Linked DNA regions of Xenopus tropicalis. The protein of the gene in region 5 interacts with the protein of the main gene of each other region in a pairwise test. Links are inferred from orthologs where the notes say so. Each region holds a gene or a part of one and is shown on either strand. Other genes may lie near its edges. The genes, in order: cep57, TRAF3-interacting JNK-activating modulator, exosc5, poll, tfip11, sh3glb1 and c1orf109.

Region 1 (4,316 bases), on a different chromosome or scaffold from region 5:
AGCAATTAAGAGTATAGGTTATAACACTGCTAGATTAGTACTTCACCTCTGCTGTTGCTTTCAGGATAGGCCAGCACTGGTTTGCCGGGGGAATGGAGCAGTTCTGAGTTAATGAATGGTTTTCCACTGGGGAAGGCCACATATGAGCTCGCTGACTGTGAATCAATTCTAGATTGTCCTTTAGAATTCCCCACTGAAGGATTGTGCAGCTATAAAACAAAAATAAACACAAAGAACAGTTAGTATTGTATGTGCCCAGAACACAAGAGGTAAGACAAAGACTGGACTCTGCCACGGAAAAGCCCTTGTGACTTTAGTCAGGATCATTGTTTAATACACCTACTGCCTATGATATTGTGCAGCCCTGCCTGTCTCCTGGCCATACAGTATCCCTTCCCAATCTTTACTCCATGCAGTTCAGGAGAGGGCAATGTTTACTTCGTAAGTGTCACTGCAATTGAAAAATGTATTTCATAGTAACATAGTAAGTTAGGTTAAAAAAAGACATACGTCCAAAAAGTTCAACCTTAATACCTATATATAGCCTGCCTAACTGCTAGTTGATCCAGAGGAAGGCAAAAAATTCCATCTGAAGCCTCTCTAATTTGCCTTCTCTATATCCGCTGTAACAATGTTGTTACTATAAGTCAATGGGGCCATACTTTCGACCTGCCTCTTTTTACTATTAATATACTTAAACTTTTTGGGGTTAGTTTTGGCCTCGGCCGTGATGCGCTCCTCATTTTCTATCTTTGCCTTTCAGGTTGCAGTTTTACAACACTTGTTATAGCGTTTATATTCATTTAATGCAGCTACTGTCCCCTCTGACTTAAGCTGGCCATACACGTAGCAATTTCAAAGATCGTTCCCACCCTCCACAGACGTTCAGGGCTGAATTGTCAGATAAGGAGGTAGAAACAATAGGAATTCTACTTCCTTCTGCCGATTCAGCCCTGAAGGTAGATTTTGCTCAGACACCTTCAATAGCGCCCGATTAAAATCTTTTAACCTGGTCGATCCGCGAGACGACCGATATCCGCAGCCTTTTGTGATATCGGTTGCCTTGCCAAGTCGCCATACACGCACCAAATATTGTACGAAACTTGGTTTCATACGATTTCATCATTTTATATTTCTTAAAAGCTTTCCTTTTTTCCCTATTAACCTCTTTACCTCAGAGTTAAGCCACATAGGGTGATTCTTAACACTTCTACATTCACTTGTTAATGGAATAAATTGAGAACAGTAATGATTTAAGATAAATTTTAAATGACAACCATTTCTGCTCTGTGTTTTTATCAGAAAACATAATGCCCCAATCTATGCCCTGAAGCGCTGCCCTTAAAGGAACAGTAACACAAAAAAATTAAAGTGTTTTAAAGTAAAAGAAATATAATGTACTGTTGCCCTTCACTGGTAAAAGTTGTGTGTTTGCTACAGTAATGCTACTATAGTTTATATAATAAGCTGCTGTGTAGCCCTGGGGGCAGCCATTCAAGCTGGAAAAAAGGAGAAAAGGCACAGGTTACATAGCAGATAACAGATAAGCTCTGTAGAATACAATAGTGTTTTATCGGTTATCGGCTATGTGCCTTTTCTCCTTTGAATGGCTGCCCCCATGGCTACACAGCAGCTTATTTATATAAATTATAGTAGGGTTTCTGTAGCAAACACCCCAGCTGTACCAGTGCAGGGCAGCAGTACATTATATTGGAATTTCTTTGATACATTTGAATATTTTGGTGTTACTGTTCCTTTAAAGGAACAGTAACACCAAAAAATGAAAGTGTATAAAAGTAACTAAAATATAATGTGCTGCTGCCCTGCACTGGTAAAAGTTGTGTGTTTACTTCAGAAAGTCTACTATAATTTATATAAATAAGCTGCTATGTAGCCCCGGGGGCAGCCATTCCTGCACTGGTACAGCTGGGGTGTTTGCTACAGAAACCCTACTATAATTTATATAAATAAGCTGCTATGTAGCCATGGGGGCAGCCATTCAAAGGAGAAAAGGCACAGGCACATAGCAGATAACAGATAAAACACTATTGTATTCTACAGAGCTTATCTGTTATCTGCTATGTAACCTGTGCCTTTTTTCCAGCTTGATTGGCTGCCCCCATGGCTACACAGCAGCTTATTATATAAACTATAGTAGTGTTACTGTAGCAAACACACCAGTTTTACCAGTGCAGGGCAACAGTGCATTATATTTTTATTACTTTAAAGCTCTTTCATTTTTTGGTGTTACTGTTCCTTAAGGAGCTAAAATTTGCTTTTCTAAAATTCATTGTCTTTGTTGCCCCCGTGTAAATTAGTTTCCTGCACCAAACATCAAATTACTCAAACATTATGGTCACTATTACCCAGGGGTTCAACCACTTGCACATTTGCTATACGTTCTGGGTCATTAGAGATCACTAGATCCAATAGATTGGTTCCTGATTGGCTCCTCAACAACCTGTGACATAAAGTTGTATGTATCAGTTCTCCTCCATGTCTGCCAGCCAGCTGATACCTGCCAAGAGTCTGAACCCCCAGTGCAGAGAATATAAACAGCCAGGCAGTTGTGTATAGAATCTACATGGCATTACTGTCAAGCCAACCATCCCCCAGCCCTTCCTCTCACCGTTTTCCTTGGATACGCAGCAGAAGCCGCCATATTTCTCCGGTACAGGAAGCCACCGACTCTGCAGGGTTACACAGTCAGCCCCATTGCTACGTTTCTATTACTCTCACACACCTACACTTGCCCCGACATCTTTCCAGCTACTAGGCGGGGCCAGCAAGTTTGTGGGAGGCGCTTACACTATTGGTGCGGGTTCCCAACTCAACGGACCAATCATACGCAGCGTGCGGATTATAATCACCGCAATACAAGAGAGTAGGGAATTTGGCGCGTTTGTTTAGTATATATGTTTTATTCATATGGCGCAGTTTGTGCAATAGTTTCATGTGATCTATATTATCCGAAGTTATTTGAAGAGGTTTCACAGTGAGCCAGAACCTCCGATTCTGTGACCAGGTGCATGCTGGGAGTTTACGCAACAGCATCTTCTCAGTCGCATCTAGGGCAACATCTGTGTCTGGGTTTGGCCAATGGCCGCGGAGGACGACGTCACTCGCCAGCGAACAAAACGCGCGACGTGATTGGTGGAGCGGACCTTCCATCAGCGTGCCATTGGCTGGATGAATTCAAACGCGTTTTTCCCGCCTCCCAGTGACTCTCTCGGATTGGCTCGACCGGCCCTTCCCTTTGTGACGCCGCTGAATTTGCACACATCCGGTTATTTTTCTCCCGTTTTTATATTTGTAAAGAGGGAATAGGCCGAGTAACGTCGAGCCGAGAGCAAAGAGGGGAATAATAAGAGACGAATACGTTTCGGTGGTTCGTACCGAGCTCCGCGCAACCCCAGCGATAAGTCAGAGGCGGTGGCGCGGCTGGTGAAGGAGACGGAGCAGGAAGCACAGGCCGCCCCGTAGGAACGTAGAACCCTATTGCCAAAGCCGGTGTTGCCGGAAGTGTGTGTCCGTGCCCTTCAGTGTTCCCAGTATGGCCTCAGCGCTGTACGCCTGCACCAAGTGTCACCAGCGATACCCGTTCGAAGAGCTCTCCCAGGGGCAGCAGCTGTGCAAGGTCAGTGCCCAGGGCCGCCTTAGGGAACTTCCTTCGGTGTCCCGCCATCACTGGGGCCCAGCAGCCTTGGGTAACAAGGGCATTTCTATTGGGTTCCAGAATCTCATGGGCCTAGTGTGATCACAGGGAAGCCATTAGCTCAGGGGCCCATATGTAGCCTTTGAGTAGTGTAGGAAGGGGTGCTAGTTGGATACCCCAGACCTCCATTCATTGCTAGGAACCCCCTCTTCCCTAACTGAATCCATCTTTCTTCCCTTCAGTAGTTTGAGGGGATGCTGGAAATATATATGAATTACTACTGACTGCTGCTCAGCCTAGGGCTGGGCGATATACCGTTTAATACCGAATACCGGTGTTTTTTTTTTTTTTTTTTTAAACTATATTCATTTTTTAGATACCGCAATACCGGGGTGTCAGGGTACTCACCCGTGCAGCCCGGTCTCGCGCGCGTCCCATGTTCTGCGGGACGTTGCGCACACGCGTCCGGATGCGCGTGCGTCAAAGCGCACAAAGCGTGCACGTCCGCGACGCGGTGCCGGTTCTGCGCATGCGTGGGGGGTATTTAAAGCTATCAAACGCCTCCTCCTGTGCTATGTGTCTGTGGCCTTGCCTGGGAAACTAAACCTGCCTAATTTACCTTACGACTTTCTGTTGCCGATCCTTCGCTTGCCAGACTCTG
Region 2 (3,596 bases), on a different chromosome or scaffold from region 5:
ATGAATGTGTGCATTCTCTCTTCACTCTGCAACAAAGATCTTCTCTATTTTTAAGATACATAGACTACAACTCATTGCCCATATATATTATAGTTCTGGATTTTCTAGCGTTTTACTGCAAAATAACCCACTAAAAGAAACCTGTGTTGGGAACACCTGCTCTGTAGTTGTAGTTCTCTTGAAACGAAGATACATTTCCTGTCTGTAAGCAATAAGAAATGCTTTTTTTCCTGCATGCATATAGAGGAAGCATCAGCAAACCACATCAAAGCTTATGAAGAGTTGCTAAAACTAGTTATCTTACCGTCAGAATTTCCCTTCTTACTAATTATTTTGAATTCATTATTTTTAAAGTTTCTAACCAGTTCCTTCTATGTCATAGTCTATAAGCCAAATTGTGTGTGCAATTTGGCTTATAGAGGTGTATGAATATGGTGGAAAATTCAACAAATCTATCTCTACTGTTATTTTGTCTTAAATTGTACCCCTTTTGTGTATTCCTTCTAATTTTACTCCAAAAATACTATCTCCACTTTTGTGAAATGCACCCCAGTAACAATGAGAAGCGAGCAAGAACCACTTGCACTATGAATACTTTTATCTTTATTGATATAGCACATGCATGTTCCACAGCACTTACAGATATACATCATTCACATCAGTACTTCCCAGAGTGAAGCATACAATCTAAGGTCTCTATCACATTCACACATGCTATGATGAATTCTATTAGGACTCAGCTATTAGGACTCACACTACTATTTCAACATTTTCAACTTATTTCAACATTCAGGAAGCAAAGCACCATGGCATTCTACACCATGGTATTCTACTGTTGGATCCATTTTTCTTTCAGTGATTTGAAACTGGACCTTTGTATGCATTTTTATGTGTTTTTGTTATGCAGCACTATTTTGTAATTTAAAGTAATATATAGGAATGCGCTTTAAATAAAATTGAAAATAATAAATTAACAGTGCCATTAAAATCTTAATCTAAATCATCCATTCCAAAAAGTTTATATTCATCTTTTTAAATTCATATGAAGCTGAACTTAAATCTTTGAAACAATAAATATACTTCAGGGGCACTGTGGGTGCACAACCATTTCTAATGAAAAAAGCAGAAACAGCCCAGTCTAGAAATGGAGATCCAATGATGGCATGCTGTACCATGGGACACCCATGTGCCACCCTGCTGTAGGCAGTGCTACTTAAAGCAGGCGATGCTGCACATAACAGAGGTATAGGATAAATTATCTGAAAACCCTTTATCCAGAAAGATCTGAATAACAGAAAGGCCATATCCCACAGCGTCCATTATAATCAAATAAAGGTTTTCAAAATGATTTCCTTTTTCTCTGTAATAATAAAACAGAACCTTGTACATGATCCCAATTAAGATATAAGAAGTCCTTATTGGGTTTATTTAATGTCAAAATATTTTTTTAATAGACTTATAGTACAGAGATCCAAATTAAGCATGAAAATCCAAATTATGGAAAGATCTTTCTCCATCCGGTACACCCTAGGTCCCAAGCATTCTGGACAATAGTTTCCATACCTGTACTTGTGGCATTACACAGCGTATTACAGAGATTATACAGCATTCAAGTCAGAGTGTCACACAGCAGGAAACATCTAAACTGGTGGTTCCCAAGGAAAAGTTTATCTCTGGCCACAAATATTTATTCTTCATTTTGACCAATATGACCATATTTTTTAGGGCACCAAAGCAGTAAATAAACAAGCAACCATAGTTCTTTTTAACCAACAAATCAGAATAACCCTGTTTCAGAATTCCCATGGTTTATCAAACAGAATCTACCTTGAATGACTTTTCAGATGTCTGTAAGAGTGTTCGAAACAACTCCTGCAAGGAGCACAATTTCTTTTTCAGTTTCCTCTCTCTATGGAGAGCTTCCTGCAGAAGTCAGAAAAATAAGTGACATTAATATCAGATATAATGTACCCCCTTAATGTAAAATAATGTATTTTCTGTGGACGTATAAATGCATGAGGCCTAAGCTGAGTGCTCCTGTAGAGGTTATGAGGCTCTAAGTTAACTTCTAAATTCCTCATTTACATGGTCAGTAACCTGTATTAAAGAAGCCTGTTGCCTTGTGTCTTTATATGGTTATTTAGTGAAATTTCTCTAAGTCACACAAAAATTATAAATGCTGCTGATGATAAATAACACTGTCATTTTTTATGCAAAGGTGATACTTAGTCCTTGCGGTTGGCTGTAAGGGCTCACATATACCTCATACACTTGAACAGTGCCCCAGCAACTCTCACAAATAATTTTTGTTTCCGTTTGCCTGAGGGATGCTCCCTATCCACCCCAGAGAGAGGGTGGTGTCAATGTGCCTTCCTACCACTCCCTGTCATCTCCCTAATGCTTTACACATAGAAAGGCAGATCTTGCAGGTGGGCAGAATTTTGAATGGGTTGATGATAGAGACATCCGGAGGACTACTGTGGCCATACTAGGATGAGTGGTACTGTACTAAGCACTGCTGTCAGGGGGGCTTTATACTTTTCTACATAGGGCCCTCTTCTGATTGTGTCTGCCCTTTAATATGTGAATTTAAAAAAAAAACAGGGATGCACCAAATCCAGGATTCATTTAGGGATTCGGCCAAGATTCATCTTTTTTAGCAGGATTTGGATTCAGATTCTTGCTGGGCTGATTCTGAATCCTTAAATTCTCTAGACTTTTTGTCACAAACACGGAAGCGAAAAAGTTTTCACCGCACACTTTGCGGGCAGTTCTATCTGACCCCTCCATGGCCTAATTTGGATATGCAAATTAGGATTCAAATTCGGTTCAGCATTTGCCCAAATCTTTCACAAAGGATCTGTGGTTTAACCAGATCCCAAAATAATGGATTTGGTGCATCCCTAGAAAAAAAAGAGATTAGAAATTGCACAATATAATTGCTAAACTTTATCATGCTTACCACAAGGTATTCAGAAAGTTCCAACAACTCCTGAAAAATAAAACATTTCACAAATTATACATGTAAATGCAAAGTCTACTATGAACATATAAACTAGAACAACAGATATTTGTATGCACGCAACCAAAAGGAAAACAGAGAGAACATTTCCCCCCAGGCTCCTATATTTATGAGTTTTTCCAGTGTTTTTAGAAGCATTACCCCCTGAGTTTAGTATATATTCTCACTGAATTTTTGGAAGGACTGCAGTGTATTCAGGCAACCACGAAACATTAAAAAAATTATTCATCCACAACATTACTACATTACATTACTATTGTTGTGTCTGTAATTCATGTGCCAGAGACACGCAGCTCTCTGCTCTCTCCTGCTCCCCCCCCCTCAAGAATACTAAGAACTCACTCCCCCCCCCTTAGGAATGTGGATCTGAGCCTATCAGCAGGAAGCTGACTCATGGGGGAGATTTACTAATCCACGAACGGTCCGAATGTGTTTTTCGCAATGATCGCTATTTTTGCGACTTTTTCGTATGTTCCGCAACTTTTTCGTTGCCGTCGCGAAAAAATCGGATTGGTTTTTCCGCCGTTTACAACCGCTCAATACGAAAAAATCGCGACGGCGACGAATTAGTCGC
Region 3 (4,380 bases), on a different chromosome or scaffold from region 5:
ATGGAAATCAGTTGAACAGTTAGCCTTAAGGTGGCCATACACCTTACAATTACAATCTTTCCTGCAACCATTTGTCTCAGGAAAGATCGTTCCCACCCTCCACTGGCATTCAGAGTTGAATTGTCAGATATGGAGGTAGAAACAATAAGGATTCTACCTCCACCTGACAATTAAGCCCTAAACACAGATTTTGCTCGTATAAAAGTCTTCTGTCCCGCCCGTTCCACGAGGCGACATATCCGAAGCTTTTGTGATGTTCACCTCGTCGATCCACCATACACACAGTGAATATCGTATGAAACTAGGTGCATCGGTGCATGTATGTCAGCTTTAGTCACATAAAACTACAGTAGCCAGATTACTGCCTGTGTGATATATAAACGAACCTGAATTATGAGTTTTTACCTTTCTTTCTTCTTTAAAGCAATCTCAGCAGGGGCTCAAACACAGCCAATCATAATCACAGATGGCCGTAAGTTCCACTGTGGAAATGGAAAAATTGCCTTTTCAGGCAAAGGCAAAATGACAAGCACCATGGGGGTACTAGAAAAGAACAAGTTTGTGATTTGCTGCTTGTGCAACTTAAGTGAGGCAATGCATTCAATCTACCCATTTTATGCAGTGATCTTATGGTCATGTCTTTAGTTAATGGAGGCTTCTCTGGTTATTTATGCAGTGATTTTACTGGCATGTCTGGATTTTTTTTTTTGGTTTTAGTTTTAATTTTATGATCATGGTATTTTGGGTGTGGTAAAATGTGGGTGCAGTCATACCATGGCAGTTAACTGTGTCCCTCTTTGTAGTTTTCAAATGGCGGGAGGAGCATGGCAGTTAATTGTGTCCCTCTTTCGAGTTTTCAAATGGTGATAGGTATAAAAAGGTGGTGAGTAAAACTGTACACAAGGTGGATAAAGTGATAGGTCTTGATCAATGCAGCTTGGTAGAACAGAGTTGCAGAGAGTTTGGTGTGAATTCTAAGCCACCATGATATACCTGCTTGATATCTAGGTCAATGTGCTTACACCCTTTAGTTTCTTTTTTCCGAATTAATCTATTTTTGTGTGACTGGAGAACTGCATTAAAAATTATACTGCATTAAAAATTATTAACTGGTCAAAATGCTATAAACCACCTAAACATGGTACTGGATTGCTACTTTGTAAGGATAGCTCACATTTTTTGTTGAAACTCATTTCTAATCTTTATTCTAAAATTGAATATGGTGCAGAGCCTAGGAGCCCAAAACTACAAGCCCCTATAGCTATAATACACAAGATTTTCTTTACCAACATTGATCAGTGATGTAATTTGTATAATTTACTGACTAAAACCTCCTCTGTTGTAAAATATGTGGATATTAGAAGCCACCTCAGAGTTCAATGACCTGTATTAAACCACTTGGCCTTTGGTTCTGTGCCTGTATATGGTCATGGCACTCTAAGGAGACTTCCAATACCCTTATATTTTTTAATATGGTGTATATTCCCTATATTTTGGTTTATTTAAATGCGTACACACAGGTATCATAATCACAGTGCTGTACATGACCGTTTATAGCTCTAGAGTAAGAGTATGGTCAGTCTGTCCCCAATTCAATTTGGTGTCCAATATTTTAAAGGACCTTTTCCTAAATAAATATATATGTATTTGTACAAATGAATTGTAATTTTAAGCAGTGTTATAATATGCAGGAATTAAACATGTTAAATGTTTTTTTTTAAGTAATTTCTAAATAAAATTCCAAGAGCAGTTTGTCTGCCTTTGCTATTATTTGCTACCAGACTATAGAAATAATTAAATAAAAAATGTCTCTCCTCACCACCACCTCAGTTCCTACAAATTTGCCTTGTACTATTCTTTTATTTTACTTTGCAGCTGATAATGGCAGAACAAGCAAGGCATTGTGAGATTTGGAGTAGTTAAAGGAACAGTAACACCAAAAAATGAAAGTGTATAAAAGTAATTACAATATAATGTACTGTTGCCCTATATTGCTACAACTGGTGTGTTTGCCTCAGAAAGACTACTATAGTTTATATAAGTTAGCTGCTGTGTAGCTATGGGGGCAGCCATTCAAAGGAGAAAAGGCACAGGTTACTTAACAGATAACAGATAAACCCCCATTATATGGGGCTTATCTACTAGTTATCGGCTACGTAACCTGTGCCTTTTCTCCTTTTTTCCAGCTTGAATGGCTGCCCCCGTGGCTACACAGCAGCTTATTTATATTGTAGCTTTTCTGTAGCAAAAACACCAGTTTTTTGCAGAGCAACAGCACATTATATTTTAATTACTTTAAAACACTTTCATTTTTTGATGTTACTGTTCCTTTAAGAGTAGCTGGGGAAACCAGGAGAGAGTTGCAATAAACAGGCTGAAACTTTTTTCTCAGTAACAATTGTATCAATTTTAAAATCATGAACATTTTTTATTATCCTATATTGGAAAATTGCTTAATTTACAAGTTTGCAGTTCAGCAACCACCTACTTTAGACAAATACAACACATACATTCCCCATTGCTGTCCTCTGCATTATGACAACATGGAAGAGCTGTTCCATTAAATGAGAATAACGGCCACTGGATTTACAATTCAATTTCCATCCAATGATTTAGCCGCAAAACATTTTACGCTTCCCTTCAATATGTATCCCTTGATATCCTCGTATTCCACATAAGATTTGAGGAATTATAGGCGCGCCAAAACTAACCCTGAAGAAACGTAGCGGATCCATCGGGACGGCTCAGCAAACTCTGCTCACACCCGTATTCCCGCAATACAGAACCTACAGCCTCCATCAGAACCTTCTTTCCACATGTGCAAACACTTCCGGGGTCCTTGGGGTCTGGCAACCGCCACACTTGCCTGTATAATTATACACAACAATGCCAAAGCCTTTTTTCCCAGGGAATAATAGGAAATACGCAATTCTCGCAATTTCTCACTTCAGAGGTTATTTTTGACAAGCTGTTGAATAGGGGTCCTAAGAGAAATGTAGGCAGTGGGATAGCATTCCGAAGCAAGATGGCGGCGCTGAGGGCACTTCTAAGGGTCCGGACTGTGGCAGGAGGGTGGAGAGGCGCCGGTGGGAGACAGGTGAGAGGAGTACAGGGGTCGCGTTGGTGTGAGTGAAACAGACGATAATCAGATGGAAGGGGAGTTTAAATGTTTTATTTCTAAATGCGAGACCCTGGTCTTGTATACTGAGAAGTATACACATCTTGTACCATAAGGTACATCGCATCTAAAATACTAGTATGCCTGTCTGACGTATATACATGGGAACTACAAGAACTGTTTGAATTGGGAGATGTGTTTTAAAAGTTATATGCTATAATAAACGTGGGTTATAGTTACAGTTCAGAATTATGTAAAAATATGTGATATTGCTGACTAGATTTGTAAGGAGTCAAATTTACATTTGAATTTACAGCTTATATAGTATATACATTTATATGCTTTAGCCTTAAATAACAGGTTGGTTGATTGTCTGTCCATAAACCAGCTGGTGACAACATTGTTTCAGCTATATAAATAGGAAGAATATGTTTGTATACATACTCCCAAAATGCACACACATATTTCCAGGTATATATTTGTATAGTGCTACTTGTATACACAGCCCTGTACATATCTATATATAAGTATTTGTATAAAATTGCCTGTGCTTTTGATCAGCAGTTCTGGGACTGGAATATTATAGGTTGGAGTATTATAGAAGCAACATTCTAGTAATATTCCTAGTTCTGTACTGTACCACAGTTATTGCTTACACTGTATTGGATTCTCTGTGTTTTTGCATACGGGAAAGAATATATATTTTCAAGGTGTTCTAACTTTTTTTTCATGGTGCAGTGTAAAATGTTTTTAGAAAACATAATTATTTGCAGATACTTGTAGCCTAAATTGTGCTTTTAGTTATGTGATTTAACGGGCAAGACCAAGGTGTTACGCATTAAAGATGTGTGATGCTCTGGTGGGAAAAAAAAATATGGAACCCCCTCCCCCAGCACTATACCATACATTTTGGAGCTGGATTATAATACAATGATAATGTCATGGACAGAAATCAGAGGAGCACTTTGGCCTGTAGGGGAACATAACCTCTTGAAGAGCCCCGTGGTCTGGAGCAAAACTAGATGGTTTTAATTATTACTTATTCTTGCATATTAAATAACTATTACTACAGTTTAATTAGGATATGCCTAGTATTTGTCTGATTTAACAGCTAATGTGCCATAGATTCTGTTTTGGACAGCATTGAAAGGGTTAAAGGACAGAAATATGTAAACCGGAAGGATGACACTTGAAATAAAGGCCAAATAAAAGGTTTTATCCTTAATACTAGGTGTCAAATGGAGGAGTAAAGTGAGGATAAG
Region 4 (4,033 bases), on a different chromosome or scaffold from region 5:
AAGTACAAATAATAATAAAAATGTAGCTTCACAGGGAAATAGTTTTTTAGTAACTGATCCTCATCCAATAGCTGGAAAAAGGTATAAAAAGGGAGGCAAATTATTAAAATACTATAAAAACCACAGCATGCTAAAAGTTAATCCATTTTCTCCCATTACACAAAAGAACACATACTGCTAGTAGGAGGAAGAAACTGCTATTTCATTTAGTAAAAGCAACCTATCATTTGCCCCTGAAATTCCCACACAATTAAATCTCAGTTTAGCATTTTCCTGCTTGTCAATGAGCCCAAAGAGACCAATATGCCCCCTGGAATAGTAACAGTTCATTTTGGATATGAAAAATATCATAAAGTCTTGTTTTATTAAAGGAAAACTAAAGCTTAACTAAAGAGGTAGGCTAGAAATGTTGTACATTATGTTTTTTGCTTCTGTACCAGCCCAAGGCACCCACAGCCCTTTAGCAAAGAAGATATGTGCCACTGAAGATGCCCCAGTAGCCCCCAATCTTCTGCTGATTCCCTGCACATGCTCTGTGCTGCTGTCACCTACCTGAGCTTAGGGACCGATTGACATTATACTGTATATACTATATATATATATATATGATATAAATGTCACAATATAAGGCTGATTAGTAATTAACACAGATGATCTGAAACTCTGAAACCATCAGCCCATTAATTTTGGACGACCCCTAAGCTTAGCTTCTCAACAGCTGCCCAGAGTGCACTGAGCATGTGCAGTGTCGCAGACACTTCTAACAGAAGTGTCCAGTATGGCCACCCCCTGTGACAACTTTAAAGGACTGGATTATTACTACTACAGAGATGTTGAACATTTAGGCTGGTTCAATACGTTCTTTATATAAAATATGGCATGTCTGGCCATATTCATTTTTAGGGTTTAGTTCTTTTTTAAAAGCAATACTGTATGAGTAGTACTTACAAGGAAAACCTCTTGCAAAGTTAGTGTCTCCTCAGTGTCTCCTTCAGACTAGCGTTTAAGCAAAATTAAGGGCAATTTGGCAAGAGTGCAGTCAAGTAGCTTCAATTCCTATGGTAAAACAAAAACATTATTTTGGTTATATATTCATTATTATATTTATTACCTGTCATTCATATGAAGAGTTGGGTGTAACCTACAATTTTACCAGATCCAACTAACATTTTATCATCTGAATTTACATTCACTAAAGCAAGAACTGCCAACTCTTCTTTTAAAAGTGGATATGGAATAGAAATCCTGTATGGTTTTCTAATAATTACAGCAGCAGACTGAACTACTTATAGTGCAACCAGGCAATCTGCATGTAAATTTACTCTGAAACATGTGTTATATTAAATTTGTGTTGCGGGTTCCCAGTCTGTACACTATGGGGCTGATTTACTAATCCACGAACGTCCGAAAAGCGTCTGAATGTGTTTTTTTCGTAATGATCTGTATTTTGCGACTTTTTCGATCGCTCAATACGAAAAAGTTGCGACAATTCGCAAAAGTCGTAAAGGCTATGAAAAAGTCACGACAATTCACTAAAGTCATAATGGCTATGAAAAAGTCGCGACAATTCACGAAAGTCATAATGGCTATGAAAAAGTCGCGACAATTCACGAAAGTCATAATGGCTATGAAAAAGTCACGACAATTCACGAAAGTCATAATGGCTATGAAAAAGTTGCGACAATTCACAAAAGTCATAATGGCTATGAAAAAGACGCGACAATTCACGAAATTTGTAATGGCTATAATAAAGTCGCGACAATTCGCGCAAGTCATAACGGTTACGAAAAAGTCGCGACAATTTACGAAAAAAATCACAAAAAATACGAAAAAGTCGCAAAATGTTAGTTTTCCAATCCGAATTTTTCTCATTCGGATTCGTGGATTAGTAAATCAGCCCCTATATGTGGCTTTAACTCGCAGACTGGGGTTACCTGATGATGGGATTTCCAGCCAAAACTATCAACCCGGGCAGAGTCATTAAGAAAGGACTGTGTTTCTATGTAGCATCTGCCTGATGGGAGTTTCCTGCCAGAAATATCATTACCTGGCCAAACCCTGAGTAGATACAGGTAGGGAGATCATCGCTTTTGCCCTGTGCATCGGCCATTAGGCTGCAGACTGCCAAGAGAGGCAGAGTTGGCTTACAATATCAACCCACATATGGCCAGCTTACTGGCAATGGCACAGAGAGACTGGCAGTGGGGAGGCAGTAAAACTCACAATTGCCCTCTACTTTTTTTTATGGTATCGTCTGGACTGGTGATTACTGTTAACCCCAATGGGAGGCATTTCTTGACCTCCCATTGACCAATAAAGTCAATGGAGCTTTTTCCACCAAAGGGAATCTCCCCATTGCCCTCAGAGTCAGTGGGCTTATATATAGGAACCAGTGGCTAGGGTTACCACAAAATGAACCCAGGGCTGCTAAATCAATCTTTTCGTCCTTCTAGTAAAATTGGCATTATTCCCCCACCCTACCCTACCCCACCCCACCCCACCCCAAGCAATAAACAGTAGCAAATAATATAAGTACACTTAATAACAGACCATTGTGATTGCCTAATGTTCTGCTATACAAACAGCTACACTAAGGAAGGTAATCAATACTTTCTCTTATGGAACCCAAACCCTAAGTAACAGTACGGTTTAATGTGTGATTATGTGTTATTTTCTTTCCCCAGCAGCTCTCCAGCCATCTCGGAGGGAGATGTAGTTCCACGATTCTATATATCACTGCTATAGATCACTGCGCCCAAATAGTTACATGGAAAATACACACACAGCGCCCCAAACAGAGAAACAAACAGTAACTTATCGCTTTGTCCCCCCCTCACATTCACTTACTAGAGTTCAACACCACATCTATAAACATACACGGACATTTAATTAGGTCACTTCCGTATCCGGATGACTCGGAAGTGGTCACCGGAGTCCATTGCTTAATGAGCCCGATAATAAGAGAATATATAATATCCCGTTACAGCAGTAGCTTTGTAGAGACGTTTTATATTTTGGGATAGGTATGTTGATAGGTTTTGTGTACACGTTACAAGGCAGTCCGCTGCGTTACTATGGCAACTCAGGTCGGTTTGCCTAAGAGGCCGGCAAGCTTTGGGTTGCTATAGTAACTCGGCCCCGCGTGTGACAGGTTCCAAGATGGCGCTTCCAAGCTGGCTGGAGAGTCTGAAGGCTGCGCAGAAAACGTGCATTTTACAGGATGGTGAGTGTTCTTGTGGGAACGCAGTCACATCGGCTTGGGCTTTAATGCTGTGAGAAAGATATAGAGCTAACGTTAACCATATTCATTCATTCAACCTCCTCAATAACCAAATCCCATGCTTTATTTGTATAGCGCCTACACAGATTATATTCAATACACTGCCCTGGTGGAGTTTAAAATCTTAGGCCATAAACATGTAAACTATGTCCAGCCAGTAGCCTGGTAAAGCTGAACAAACTCGCAGGGGAACTGCTGAACTGATAACTGAGGATACATAAGCAGAAATTCAGGAGGGCTGTGATTGGCTATTTGGTAGCCCCTATGTGGGCTGGCAGCCAAGAGAAGGCTCTGTGTGGCTTTACACTGGGTTTTTATGCAACCAAAACTTGCCTCCAAGTCAATAATTCAAAAATAAGCCCCTGCTTTGAGGCCACTGGGAGTAACACCCATGTTGCTCACAGGACACTGGCTGGGGATAAGGTTTTAGACCAAATTGTTAGGTTCTGTCAGTTAATAGTCCCATAACCAAAGATGATTTACAACAGGACCTGCAGGTTTAGTTCAATAAAGGACAACTAATCCCATGCATAATAACAAGCATATAACAAACAAGTCTCATATTTGATCTCCCCCCAATCAAATCCTTCTATTCTTACCTAGGGGCTTAATGTCTCATTTTTTTTTTTTAGTTTAGGGCGAGGTCACACAAAGCGCATACCCACTTCTCTCAATCCTGCGTTTTTTCGGCCAGGCTGAGAGAAGCGGATCTGCTTTCTTGTGCTTCTCTGTGTGCCTGCATTAAAGGTTATG
Region 5 (4,040 bases):
ATATCTTGGCATTAAAAAAATAATTATGAATGTAAATTGCAAATGTTCATCAACTTATTTTGAAGTTTTCTTATCCTTTAAAGAATATCCTGGCTATAAAATACATTTTTCTCACATACTTACAGTCAGATTATAATAAAAGCTACTATTGCACGTTTCCATCTGAGAATAGCCCCTGCCTCAGTAGAGCTTCTAATTTAACCTCACTGGCCAAAGAACCCAGTTATACCTTGAGCATTCTTTCCCAGGCCTCTTCCTTGCACATAACCCATCTTCTGAAGAAGTTTCTGGCCGATTCCCTTGGTATGCCGCTCCCAAGAACCAAAATCTGTGTTTGACTTTATTCCTCCAGCAAATGTCCTCTGTGATGGTTTGAAATTACCACCCTGTAAAATACACAAACTGAAACTGACTGAAGCTTTGGAATGAAACAATGAATATAGTGTGTCTTTCTTACAATAATAGTTCTCTCTCTTATAAATGGATGGTTCGTCCTTAAGTTAATTTTAAGTAGGTTATAGAAGAGCAAGTTCGTAGCAACTTTTCAATTGGTCCTCATTTTTTTTAAAGAGGGTCACTGACCCCGGCAGCAAGAAACTATTGCTCTGTGAGGCTACAATTACGCTGTTATTACTTTTTTTTTTTTTTTTTTAAACTTATCTTTCTATTCAGACCCACTCCTGCTATTATTCCAGTCTCTCATTTGAACCACTGACTGGTTGCTAGGTTATGTTGGTTCATAGCAACCATATAACTGTTAGAATTCCAAACTGGAAAAGTGCTGAATATAAAGCTAAATAATAATAAAAAAAAAAAGAAGACCAACTGCAAATTGTTTTAGAATAGCAACCAAAAGTTGGTTTAAAGAAGAACACCCCTTTTAACCCTGTCAGACTATTACTATTGGGAAGTACAAACACTCCTTAGACTCATCCTACCGTCCTTAGCTTCTTTGCCTCAAAATCCTTTGGGAAAGTTTCCCTCCTTGCTTGCGTTTCACTGTCGGAATCGCTATCAGATTTTTCTTCTGCAGCAGGCTTACGGATCCCAGCGCTGATAAAATTGACAGGGGCCGAGTAGTCTCGAGACCTATGAAGAAATAAAATGAAAGGTGTCCGTATTGGGTGGTGCTGTATCATTAACTGCACGCAAGAAGGTGACTATTACTATTGAGTGACCCCTCCTACCAATCTAAAGACCCACCAACCTTTTCCCCCCAAAGCTTGGCCTCTCATCATCAGAGTCCCGCTCTGCCCACATCCCATAGGTCGCCTCCTCTTTTGTTTGGAAATGCTTTCTGCGGTTGGGGTTAAACTCATTCTGTAGGTCCCAGTCCGTGATCTCAAAGTTCTCCATTTCCACTCCATCGCTGTCCTCATCTTTGCCATAAAGGTGCGACATAGACATGGTGCCTGAGAGAGGGAAACAATATTTAACAATATATAAGTTGTTGTGTTTTATAGAATGGCCAATTCTAAGCAACTTTTCAATTGGTCTGCATTATTTATTTGTTATAGTTTATTAAATATTTGCCTTCTCCTTCCAACTTTTTAGGGCTCTGGCACACGGGGAGATTAGTCGCCCGCGACAAAACTCCCTGTTCGCGGGCGACTAATCTCCCCGAGTCACCGGTGGGATGGCACACGCGGCAGCACGATTTCGGGAAATCGACGAAAAAGCCTTGCGAGGCAACTTCAGTGATTTCCCGAAATCGCGCCGCTGCGTGTGCCATCCCACCGGCGACTTACATTGTCGCCGGTGGGATGGCAACTGGCGGCAACTCGGGGAGATTAGTCGCCCGCGAACAGGGAGTTTTGTTGCGGGCGACTAATCTCCCTGTGTGCCAGAGCCCTTAAATGGGGGTCAGTGACCCTGGCAGCCAGAAATCTATCGCTCTGTGAGGCTACAGTTTTATTGTTACTTTTTGTAACTTTAATTTTCTATTAAGGCCTTCTCCTATTCATATACCAGTCTCTTGTCCAAACCACTCCCTGGCTGCTAAAGTAACTTGGCCCTAGCAACCAAATAGCTGGTGAAACTCCAAACTGGAGAACTTCTGAACTGAAAATAAAATAACTAAAACACTACAAATAAAAAAATGAAGACCAATTGCAAATTGTCTCAGAATATCACTCTCTACATCAAACTAAAAGATAACTCAAAGGTGCCCAACCCCTTTATGGCTATACAGGGTTGTGCCTTGGGGCCCCCCAAAACATTCCATGTCCTTTTCCTTGGATTTAGGTAAAAAAAAAAAAAGACAAGTGATAGAAATAACCTTGAACAGTATATGTCCAGTCGGCTGCGTTCCCCCTCCTGATTGGCCAGAATGGCTCAGTAGCCACAGCCAACCAGAGAAGTACTACTACTTACAGTGACCCATAAGGGGTTAAAGAGGGCCATGCTGAAGTGAGTGATGGGAGAGGAATGGGGCATGGAGTGAGTAAATGGCATGCTATGGAACTGGATGCATTACCCAGATACAATGCAGCAATCAATGTAACAGCATTTAGTAAGGGACAATAATCACAGGTCAGGATTTAAACTACAACTCCCATAATCCCCTCAAACAGTTATGGGGAAGAAACTAATAGCGCAGCCATTGACACCAGACAGGTACACATGGCCATTCCGCTCCTGTGCGGGAACCAGACACCCCGTATTCACTGAGCAGCCCCGGCTTAGTTATACCAAACACAAACAAGTGGGGCTAAATGCTAAAATAAGCTTCCATGAGGCGTCATAGTTACCGATATTCCAGTTCCAGGTACCTGAGCCCCGGGTTCCACAGGCTGCAGTAATGTACGCGGCACACTTCCGGTCACGCCTACACAATGACGCGTACGGGACGCGACACCGGAAGTAGGGTTCTACAAGCGTGGGGTTGTGTCAGAATCAGACTGGCAGGATTGGAATAGGGGCTACGGGCTAGGGGCTTGGTTGCTAGGGGCTTGGTTGCTAGGGGCTTGGTTGCTAGGGGCTAGTTTAATATGCAAGCAAGTGGGGTTCTGCAAGCTTGGGGTTGTGTAATAATCAGACGGGCAGGATTGGAATGCTAGGTGCTTGGTTACTAGGGGCTAGGGGGTTTGGTTACTAGGGGCTAGGGGCTTGGTTACTAGGGGCTAGGGGCTTGGTTACTAGGGGCTAGGGGCTTGGTTACTGGGGGCTTGGTTGCTAGGGGCTTGGTTACTAGGGGCTAGTTTAATAAGCAAGCAAGTGGGGTTCCGTAAGCTTGGGGTTGTGTAATAATCAGACGGGCAGGATTGGAATGCTAGGGGCTAGGTGCTTGGTTACTAGGGGCTAGGGGCTTGGTTACTAGGGGCTTGGTTACTAGGGGCTAGTTAAATAAGCAAGCAAGTGGGGTTCTGCAAGCTTGGGGTTGTGTAATAATCAGACGGGCAGGATTGGAATGCTAGGGGCTTGGTTACTAGGGGCTAGGGGGCTTGGTTACTAGGGGCTTGGTTGCTAGGGGCTTGGTTACTAGGGGCTTGGTTACTAGGGGCTTGGTTACTAGGGGCTAGTTTAATAAGCAAGCAAGTGGGGTTCTGCAAGCTTGGGGTTGTGTAATAATCAGACGGGCAGGATTGGAATGCTAGGGGCTAGGTGCTTGGTTACTAGGGGCTAGGGGGTTTGGTTACTAGGGGCTTGGTTACTGGGGGCTTGGTTACTAGGGGCTAATTTAATAAGCAAGCAAGTGGGGTTCTGCAAGCTTGGGGTTGTGTAATAATCAGACGGGCAGGATTGGAATGCTAGGGGCTAGGTGCTTGGTTACTAGGGGCTAGGGGGTTTGGTTACTAGGGGCTTGGTTACTAGGGGCTTGGTTACTGGGGGCTTGGTTACTAGGGGCTAGTTTAATAAGCAAGCAAGTGGGGTTCTGCAAGCTTGGGGTTGTGTAATAATCAGACGGGCAGGATTGGAATGCTAGGGGCTAGGTGCTTGGTTACTAGGGGCTAGGGGGTTTGGTTACTAGGGGCTAGGGGGGTTGGTTACTAGGGGCTAGGGACTTGGTTGCTAGGGGCTTGGTTACTAGGGGCTAGTTT
Region 6 (3,596 bases), about 91 Mb from region 5:
TTAGCTGCTGATTCTGCCCCTTTCGAGCTTATCTGCCCATGTATGTGTCCTATCCAGTAGGTGTCTGGCCAAAATCAACCAGATATTTATTGGACAGGTTTAAAAATCCCACTGGGGAGATGACCATTTCAGCTAGTTGACGAAGTCCTGTGACTATACAGGTGACTATAGTGCTATCATTTGGCACTAAGCCAAACAATCAGATCAGCCCACTATCAGGCACCACAAAGTGGCGATATTTGCTCATTTTGCAAACTCACCAAATGAGTGGATCTTAAGGTTTACGACCAACTATAGGTTGTGGAACACAATTACAGGTGACATCTCCAGGTACAGGTGAAATGAAAATAACGTTATTATTCAGGTCACCAAGTAGTAAAATGTGCCAGCTTAATTGTGCTTAGAAAAGACCATATAGTTAAATCATACATGCTAGGTTACAATCGTGGGAATAAAGTTCATAGCAGTGTCTATTCACTTATATGTCTATATATATTACAGACATTCTTTGCTTATTCTGTGGAGGAAACACAAAAAAAACATGATAAAATTATGTATAAAGATAAAAAAGGAATATACTTAATGATATATGATTAATTCTGATTGGATTATTTGATATCTCATATACTGTATAATAAATTAACTCCGTTAAGTCTTTGGCCAAAACATACAGATCCCCTTTAAGAGACTGTTCCTGTTATTCCTTGTATGGCATCTTCCAAGGCCAGACACTTTATGGTCATTGACTTCTGCAATGACTTCCCTTTCCAACAATGCTACAGCCCTTGATTGTTTCTGGTAAAGGGATTTTCTGTTTGACACGGAAAGGGAAATAAATTATCTTTTTATCTATATCTCAGCTTTAACCCTTGTTTTAGTAACAACTGTCTGACATCTTTTTGGTAAACTATTTTAGGCAATAACTGTCCGTTATGTCTTTCTAAATACAGCACACACCCACTGTTCAAATTTACTTCAAAGGACAAGGAAACCCTAAGATAAACAAACAATTGGCCATGTGTTAGGATGCATTTTAAATAGCCCATATGCACTCATCAAGCGTTCTAAAGAGAAAACATTATCCCAGTAGAACTACTGCAGAGATGAAAAGCAAACTTCTCAGGACTGCTGCAGGAAACATAGGGGGTTTTGTAAGTAACTAATATAGCATTTCGCTAAGGGACGATCTTTTACTCAAGTTCTACTGGGGGAGTTTCCTTGCTCTTTAAATTTACTTCATTTTTTCTTATAGTTTTTTGAGGTTTTTCTTTAAAATAATTTGGTTTAAATGTTATTATGTTTGCTTCCTGCCCAGGCCTCTGTGTTGGCTCCTCCCATATTTCCAGCATCCATTAGCTGGCTTGTCCTCGGTGCGACATCATACAGACAGCTAAAAACCCTTAAAAAATGTATAGAATAAGTGCAGCTAACACTTTAAAATGCTGTGGCATACTAATGCATGAAAATGCAAAGGGAGACATGAATGAGTCCCAGGATGTACAACATATAAAAAAAAATGTATTCTATTTGTTATTGAGTATTGAGTTTTAATTTTACATATTTGTAAATGGACTTGACATTTCCTTTCTTCTACTTTTACAAGTAAGCCATTCTGCTTAGGGGGACATTCTGATGTGGGGGGTAATCTTACTTGGATTTGGTTGCAACAGCACCTCTGTCTGCTTCATGATCTTCTCAGTCCAAACCTTTGTGCATTCTGCTTTGCTGAGAAGATTTTCCAGGTGAGCATCAAGTTCAGTCTTCTCTGCCTGGCCAAATTTTTCTTCTGTAAACTGTTCAGTGGAAGAAAAAAAAACAAACAAAAAACAAAAACATTGGACATCTTCACAAGTAGAACAATAAAATACATTTCATTGGTTAAATGGCAGTAGAAATAAATATATAAAAGGCACTTGGATTTCTTTAGTGCAGCTGTTCTAAGTAATCAGGTTGTGCACGTTAGTAATGTGTATGCCTTTTTCATTGCTTACCATTCAGTGACTTCCAGCTGCTACTTAAAATGCAAGTCACTTAGATTGTAAGCTCTATGGGGCAGGGACCTCTTTCCTACTGTGTCTCATACCACATGACACTTATTCCCTGTGTATTTATATATATATATTTATTGTATTTATTTATTACAACACTTGTCCTCCCTGTGTGTAATTGTGTATACTGTAAGATTGTACAGCACTGCGTACCCTTGTGGCGCTTTATAAATAAAGTTATACATACAAGTAAGTTTCTGTGTAACAGAAAATATTCTACTCTGACACCCAAGCAGACGCAATTAATCACATTTAAAATAATTTCACAAAGGTAAAACATACCCCTGGTAAGGTAACCCTAAAGGTGGCTGATTTCAGATGCCGATTCAAGTCCTTTAGGCCAACTCGGCAGATTATCTTCCCTTGTATGGGCACCTGACTGACATCTGTCCAAAAATTGGCAAGATCCCGATAAGGGCGGGTTTGATTTTCCGCCGGATCGGGGACAACATCGGCAACTTAATGCAGCCCCCAATCAGACGGCGCCTATGCCTGCCGTTTTAATTCAAGAGGTCACACCTTTACACTAGAGGAACAAACTTTCAGTTAAAGCATTGTAGGTGGTTCTTTGCGCTGAGGGCAGTGAGGCTGTGGAATGACCTGTCGGGTGATGTTGTAAAGGCAGATTCTATTAATGCCCTTAAGAGTGGTTTAAATGAATTCTTGAACAAGTATAATATCCAAGGCTAACGTGGTTTTAAGATCTAAAGTTAGTTTAGTACAGGTATCAGTATATACAGTTTATATATGTGAGCAAGAACCCATGCCATTCTGTCTTTGTGAATTTTTCCAGTGAGAATACTGAAATAAAGTTTCACCTGCTCAACACTTGACTTTGTAACAAAGACAAAATCACTGCAACTGTATCCAAAATACAACTGTGGCAGCCAAGAAGAATACTGTAGCCAGAATAAAAAAAAACAATTAGATTTACCTAAAAACAAAATAATATTCTTGCATGGAGGAATCTGTCTCCTGGTACTCACCTGGCTTTTGCTATTTCCTTCTGACAAAGAACAGAAGCCTTATCCTGTTTTATGACAAGCATTTTAGACATAATCCCAGGATTATAGCTTCTGTCCCTCAAGACAAAGTAGGATCAAATAACCTTTATCTGACTGGTTTATAAACATTTACTGCTCCTCTGCTTGGAATGACTGTGGCTTCCCTAACACTAAGTTATATGACAGCTTGCAGTAAGTAACTTAAAGGGGAAGGAAAGGCAAAGTCACTTGGGGGTGCCAAAATGTTAGGCACCCCCAAGTGACTTTAACCGCTTACCTTGTACCCCGGGCTGGTGCCCCTGTTAGGAGAAAATAGCACCAGCCCGGGGTACCTGGAGCGCAGCACTTCCTCCTTCCGCCTTCCACTTCCTAAACTGCCGGTGGCCGGGCATGCACAGTAGAGCGAAAAAGCCGACTTAAATGTTTAAGTTCGGCTTTTCACTTATACTGCGCATGCGCGCGCAGCGAAGCCGGAAGGAGGAAGCGCCAGCAGCTACCCCGGGCTGGTGCTGTTTTCTCCTGACAGCGGCACCAGCCCGGGGTA
Region 7 (4,344 bases), on a different chromosome or scaffold from region 5:
TTAAATTCATTGGCATCATCATACATTCTTAGCATTTAGGTTTATGGGAACAGGGATTCCTACTTGTGTCTCAAGGCAGGACTTGTTAGTAGTTCTACTTTAAAGGATACTGGTTTCTGTAATGTTTCTCTATATCTTGTAGCCATTCTAACATGTCAGCTATGGAAGGACAGAGAGAAGAACGCTCCAAAATTGCTTCAAGACCAATTTTTTCAATGCTTGTCTCATACATGTAGAGGACAGATCCAACCACCTGACTTACAGAGTCCCTTATTCTCTGCAGCGTAGACCTGTAAAATTTAGCAATTGAAGAGTTACAAAATGTAGATAATCCTTGTATTCAGGAAATACTTTTTTTCAAGTGAAAATCTGATGCCCAGTTTGGCAACCTACAATATTTACTGCCTGTGATAATGCCCAACAATGTAAATAGCATTTTGTATTAGGCCATAAACAAGTCTGTACAGATTACACACATCCAAAAACCTAGACCTTTGGCTTTCATGTTTTAACTTGCTGTGGGTATGTGATTATTTTGCAATATCCTGCTGAGAGTAAAAGGTATAAAGTGATTAAAACTAGTACTGTGCAATTAGTAGTCACAATGTAATAATTTATTGTAGGAAAATATTAAACCTATTACTGATTTGGTTAGATTTTGTGGGAACCAAAAGGTAGTGATTACACAACTGACAATCATGTACTTCACACTGAAATACAACCAACCAGCTTGAGGTTATATTGTGGGGATATAAACCTTCCATACAAAATAAATTAACCTGTAACTTGTATGCAAGTGTGAGTATCAACGCCATTTCATATCTCTTCTTATTGAGGAAGAAGAAAATTGCTGCTAAAAATATAAGAATATTTATAAAGGCAAAACCTGCCGAGTACAAAAAAATGTGCATCCTATGAGAATGTATTGTCCAAAATCCATTCTTTTAGCAGTGTATCACTTTAGAACTAACAACTGCTATATCTACTCAGCAGAGTAGATTTAAGGTAAGGGAACATGGAGCGGATACTCTTTCTTTCACCTGCAGTTTTTACCCAGGCAGAGGAAAGTGGATCCACTGTCATGCGCTCCTTCCTGTAGAACCATTAACAGGCAGTGTCTGCCTGTGTGGAGCTACACATAGCGGATATTGGCGCAGAAACACTCAAGTATGCCTATTCGTGCTGATATCCGCTCAGTGTAGCACAATACACACTGAAGCTGTGTCAGTCAATGGAAAGATATCTACATTAAGTATGACAAGCAAGTAATTCAGTGTTTTCAGAACTGATGTACATGTAAAGTGATGCTTGTATCTTATCTAAAAATTTGCATGGTGATACCAGCACCGGAAGGGTTGAACCAACAACACATTGGACTTACAACTTCTGATTTAAGATCTCCAAATTAAACTCCATAGCTGCTTGTAGTTTAAAACGAAGATGTTCTTGCAGGTTAATAAAGCTGCTCAGGGGGGTTTTCTTAAACAGTACTCTCTGGCAGGCCTGTAGCTGTTCTGCTAGATTACTTAAAGAAGTTAGGTGTGGGTTACACTCTAAAAGTGTATTATTCCATTCTTCATGCAGTGGTTCTATGGCATCAAAGGACTTTCTCAGCGATTGCTGCACGGAAACAAAGGCTGGTTTCTCAGACATCCTATAAAACGATAAAACTGGTGAAATACATGTCATAAATCTGATGCTTTGCACTTAAAATAAAACTCAAGCCAACAAATCAGTTATACAGCGTTATGAATGCAAAAACACACAACACCTTTCTAAGTATTTAAACCCTTGAAAAAGATATACTCACATTAGCCTAGTAATATTTAACTCAGTATAGTAAAATGTATGCTGAAATGTCTTAGAGAAGTAGGCATATGTTTAAACTAAGTTGCAGCAAACATTTCTTAAAGGAGACATAAATTACATAAACTTTAATCTTGTAGACAATTATGAATAATATATGGGGCTGGTTTTACTTTGGTATAAAAATTAAAACTATCTGTAAGAACTGTCCCTTTTTGGAATTCCCTATAGATCCTCTCAGGTCCCTGTCCGTGTTTCAGATGAGAGGTGGGCATGTTCTAATAGTCCCTGCCAGAAGCACAGTAAAAGGGGGAGAGCCAATCACAGCCCTGCAGTCACACAGGCAAAGACAGGCTTCAGTTCCCTATCAGGTCAGTCTAGCTGCTGATTGGTTCCTATATAGTGTGCTGAGTGCCGCTGGCCTCCCCTGAACAACCTGGGAAAGGAGGTAGCCAGAAGTGGAACAGATAAATAAAATCAATAAATCAGCCCCAAACACTACTTTTTAAAGCACATTTCTTTTATATTTAGATGAGTACAAATCATTGGCACAATATGGTTTTTCACACAATATGTCCCCTTTATTTTAAAAACAATAGGCCAGATTATGGGTACATACCCGCTGGCATTTATCCGTGCGTTTTGATGTGTCATATCATGACAACCCAAGGGCCAAATGACTTCAGAGGGAGTGGACACCAATGCTAAAATTGCTTGCAAATCTATAATAGCAGCAATTAGGCAAACATTTGTTATCAGATTTGCTCTGACTCGAAGATTTTGGCACACATGCATAATTTATATTGTTTTAAAATCGCTTTATGTTGGCAATGATCAGTAATATGTGGCACCCGATAAAATCTAAGCCATAAAGTATTGTTAACTTTAACAAAAAAAACTGCTTAATTAGTTCTACCTATTATGGGAGTGGCTTTCTAGTACTTCCAGTGTTATGGGTATCAGTTTTTTTTGTTTTATTTTAAAGCAGGGGTAGGGAACCTATGGCTCGGGAGCCAGATGTGGCTCTTTTGATGGCTGCATCTGGCTCGCTGCCAAATCTTTAATAAAAAAAAAAATAACAGGGGGTGTGGCCTGCGCTCGGCAGATAGAAGACATGTTCTATACGCCGAGCACAGGCCACGCCCTCCTCCGCATTGCATCCAGCAACCGGCATCCTTGGGACCCACCCAACCTTGCCCCGCGGCCAAACATATTATAGGGAATTACATTTTAAAATATGTGGTGTTTATGGCTCCCTCAGCCAAAAAGGTTCCCGACCCCTGCTTTAAAGGTTAAACAACCTATGGCTACCTGTGCTGCATTTTTTCTTTTATTTTTTATACATAGTTGGTAAAAAAAAATCTATAGATATGGTACAGCTGGTATTTGTTTGCTGGAAAAGTTGGACCTAGACCTAGCAGTAGTTACTGCCAGGAGTTGTAAGGAACAGAGGCATTGTTGCATGCTTGGAACAGTGATTACAGGAAAAAATAAGTATATCCACCCCTATATTAGCAGTTACCACAGTGGAAGATGTTCTACATAACACTACCAGAATAACATTAATAAATCTAAGATTATTTTTATAAGGGCGAATCATCGGCTCAAATGTATATAAAAGGTGATATATTTCAGTATTGCTTTCAATTATTTACTAAGAAAAAAGTAAGGCTATCCGTATTACATTGATTCGTGTCCTTAAACAGCATTACAAACAATGTCATATATAATGTCATATAGAACAGAAAAGGTAAAATAAAAACAGCGTCAACTTCCCAATTCAAACGCACGTATTTCACCAGACCTGGAAAAGCTGCTTAGCTTGCCCGCTATCATTAGCACAACTGCAACGTGAATACATTCACCTTTTTTTTTAAAGCCGGAAATGGAAACCTACAGCCGCACGGCATGAAGGGAATTGTAGTTTAAAGTCTTGTTATTGCTATCGAGGTGACTGGCGCGACAATTGTTTATTCCTTATTTTCCTTGGTAACAATTGCAGTTTAAGTTGGTTTAATACCATAATTGTGCATGAGAGTAGCTAACGTAAATTTTGATTTGTCGGCGCTGCTATAAAGGATATTTTATGATAAATCGCTAGAAACTACAAATCCCAAAAATATTTAAATAAGAGGGAATTATTTCCGGATCGGAGGTAACGTTCGGTGGTTTCCGGTTTATAGAGAAGGTAGATTGCTTAACATTTTGGTTCTTCTCGGTGTGTGTTTGTGAAAAGATTATAGTGCCAGCATGAATGAGGAGGATGATAGGGGCAGGAAGCGGAGACCACACAGCCCGGAGACAGTAACTATAAAACAGGAAAGGATAAGCCCCGTCAGGCAGCACCGCACCCGGCGAACTCCAAGCCCTCGAAGCAGCGATGGGGGATCCCCTCACCGGCACCAAGGGCGCAGGCGAAGCAGGTAATACCATAAAAAAACAATTCAAAATTGTGTGTGTGTGTGTGTGTGTGTGTGTGTGTGTATGTATGTATGTATGTATGTATGTATGTATGTATGTACACACTTTTTTTTTATT

What was found.
Region 1: the proteins of tfip11 (region 5) and cep57 interact in binary tests that used the Homo sapiens proteins (3 or more experiments, as listed by UniProt). The two-hybrid records come from large-scale screens. The link is inferred for Xenopus tropicalis from reciprocal best matches to the Homo sapiens genes TFIP11 and CEP57.
Region 2: the proteins of tfip11 (region 5) and TRAF3-interacting JNK-activating modulator interact in binary tests that used the Homo sapiens proteins (3 or more experiments, as listed by UniProt). The two-hybrid records come from large-scale screens. The link is inferred for Xenopus tropicalis from reciprocal best matches to the Homo sapiens genes TFIP11 and TRAF3IP3.
Region 3: the proteins of tfip11 (region 5) and exosc5 interact in binary tests that used the Homo sapiens proteins (3 or more experiments, as listed by UniProt). The link is inferred for Xenopus tropicalis from reciprocal best matches to the Homo sapiens genes TFIP11 and EXOSC5.
Region 4: the proteins of tfip11 (region 5) and poll interact in binary tests that used the Homo sapiens proteins (3 or more experiments, as listed by UniProt). The two-hybrid records come from large-scale screens. The link is inferred for Xenopus tropicalis from reciprocal best matches to the Homo sapiens genes TFIP11 and POLL.
Region 6: the proteins of tfip11 (region 5) and sh3glb1 interact in binary tests that used the Homo sapiens proteins (3 or more experiments, as listed by UniProt). The two-hybrid records come from large-scale screens. The link is inferred for Xenopus tropicalis from reciprocal best matches to the Homo sapiens genes TFIP11 and SH3GLB1.
Region 7: the proteins of tfip11 (region 5) and c1orf109 interact in binary tests that used the Homo sapiens proteins (3 or more experiments, as listed by UniProt). The two-hybrid records come from large-scale screens. The link is inferred for Xenopus tropicalis from reciprocal best matches to the Homo sapiens genes TFIP11 and AIRIM.

The regions. Positions count from the first base shown.
Region 1 is NC_030678.2:164,688,885-164,693,200, reverse strand, and holds the start of cep57 (centrosomal protein of 57 kDa), read right to left. Parts: upstream 2,892-4,316; 5' UTR 2,663-2,891; coding exon 2,630-2,662; intron 210-2,629; coding exon 47-209; intron 1-46. Other genes in the region: protein FAM76B, read left to right, coding at 3,554-3,637. UniProt on the Homo sapiens protein: Centrosomal protein which may be required for microtubule attachment to centrosomes. May act by forming ring-like structures around microtubules. Mediates nuclear translocation and mitogenic activity of the internalized growth factor FGF2, but that of FGF1.
Region 2 is NC_030678.2:50,640,966-50,644,561, forward strand, and holds part of TRAF3-interacting JNK-activating modulator, read right to left. Parts: intron 2,993-3,596; coding exon 2,963-2,992; intron 1,924-2,962; coding exon 1,828-1,923; intron 1-1,827. UniProt on the Homo sapiens protein: Adapter protein that plays essential roles in both innate and adaptive immunity. Plays a crucial role in the regulation of thymocyte development.
Region 3 is NC_030684.2:79,502,179-79,506,558, forward strand, and holds the start of exosc5 (exosome complex component RRP46), read right to left. Parts: upstream 2,830-4,380; 5' UTR 2,800-2,829; coding exon 2,712-2,799; intron 1-2,711. Other genes in the region: bckdha (2-oxoisovalerate dehydrogenase subunit alpha, mitochondrial), read left to right, coding at 3,026-3,097. UniProt on the Homo sapiens protein: Non-catalytic component of the RNA exosome complex which has 3'->5' exoribonuclease activity and participates in a multitude of cellular RNA processing and degradation events.
Region 4 is NC_030683.2:30,778,622-30,782,654, forward strand, and holds the start of poll (DNA polymerase lambda), read right to left. Parts: upstream 2,878-4,033; 5' UTR 2,848-2,877; intron 2,443-2,847; exon of another isoform or gene 2,048-2,442; intron 1,057-2,047; 5' UTR 949-1,056; intron 1-948. Other genes in the region: protein DPCD, read left to right, coding at 3,160-3,223.
Region 5 is NC_030680.2:15,108,027-15,112,066, reverse strand, and holds the start of tfip11 (tuftelin-interacting protein 11), read right to left. Parts: upstream 2,863-4,040; 5' UTR 2,751-2,862; intron 2,577-2,750; exon of another isoform or gene 2,279-2,576; intron 1,413-2,278; 5' UTR 1,408-1,412; coding exon 1,208-1,407; intron 1,090-1,207; coding exon 939-1,089; intron 387-938; coding exon 230-386; intron 1-229. UniProt on the Homo sapiens protein: Involved in pre-mRNA splicing, specifically in spliceosome disassembly during late-stage splicing events. Intron turnover seems to proceed through reactions in two lariat-intron associated complexes termed Intron Large (IL) and Intron Small (IS).
Region 6 is NC_030680.2:106,593,742-106,597,337, forward strand, and holds part of sh3glb1 (endophilin-B1), read right to left. Parts: intron 1,794-3,596; coding exon 1,652-1,793; intron 1-1,651. UniProt on the Homo sapiens protein: May be required for normal outer mitochondrial membrane dynamics. Required for coatomer-mediated retrograde transport in certain cells. May recruit other proteins to membranes with high curvature. May promote membrane fusion.
Region 7 is NC_030678.2:86,153,901-86,158,244, reverse strand, and holds the start of c1orf109 (uncharacterized protein C1orf109 homolog), read right to left. Parts: upstream 2,844-4,344; 5' UTR 2,602-2,843; coding exon 2,426-2,601; intron 1,655-2,425; coding exon 1,382-1,654; intron 291-1,381; coding exon 111-290; coding exon of another isoform or gene 95-110; exon of another isoform or gene 64-94; intron 1-63. UniProt on the Homo sapiens protein: Part of the 55LCC heterohexameric ATPase complex which is chromatin-associated and promotes replisome proteostasis to maintain replication fork progression and genome stability.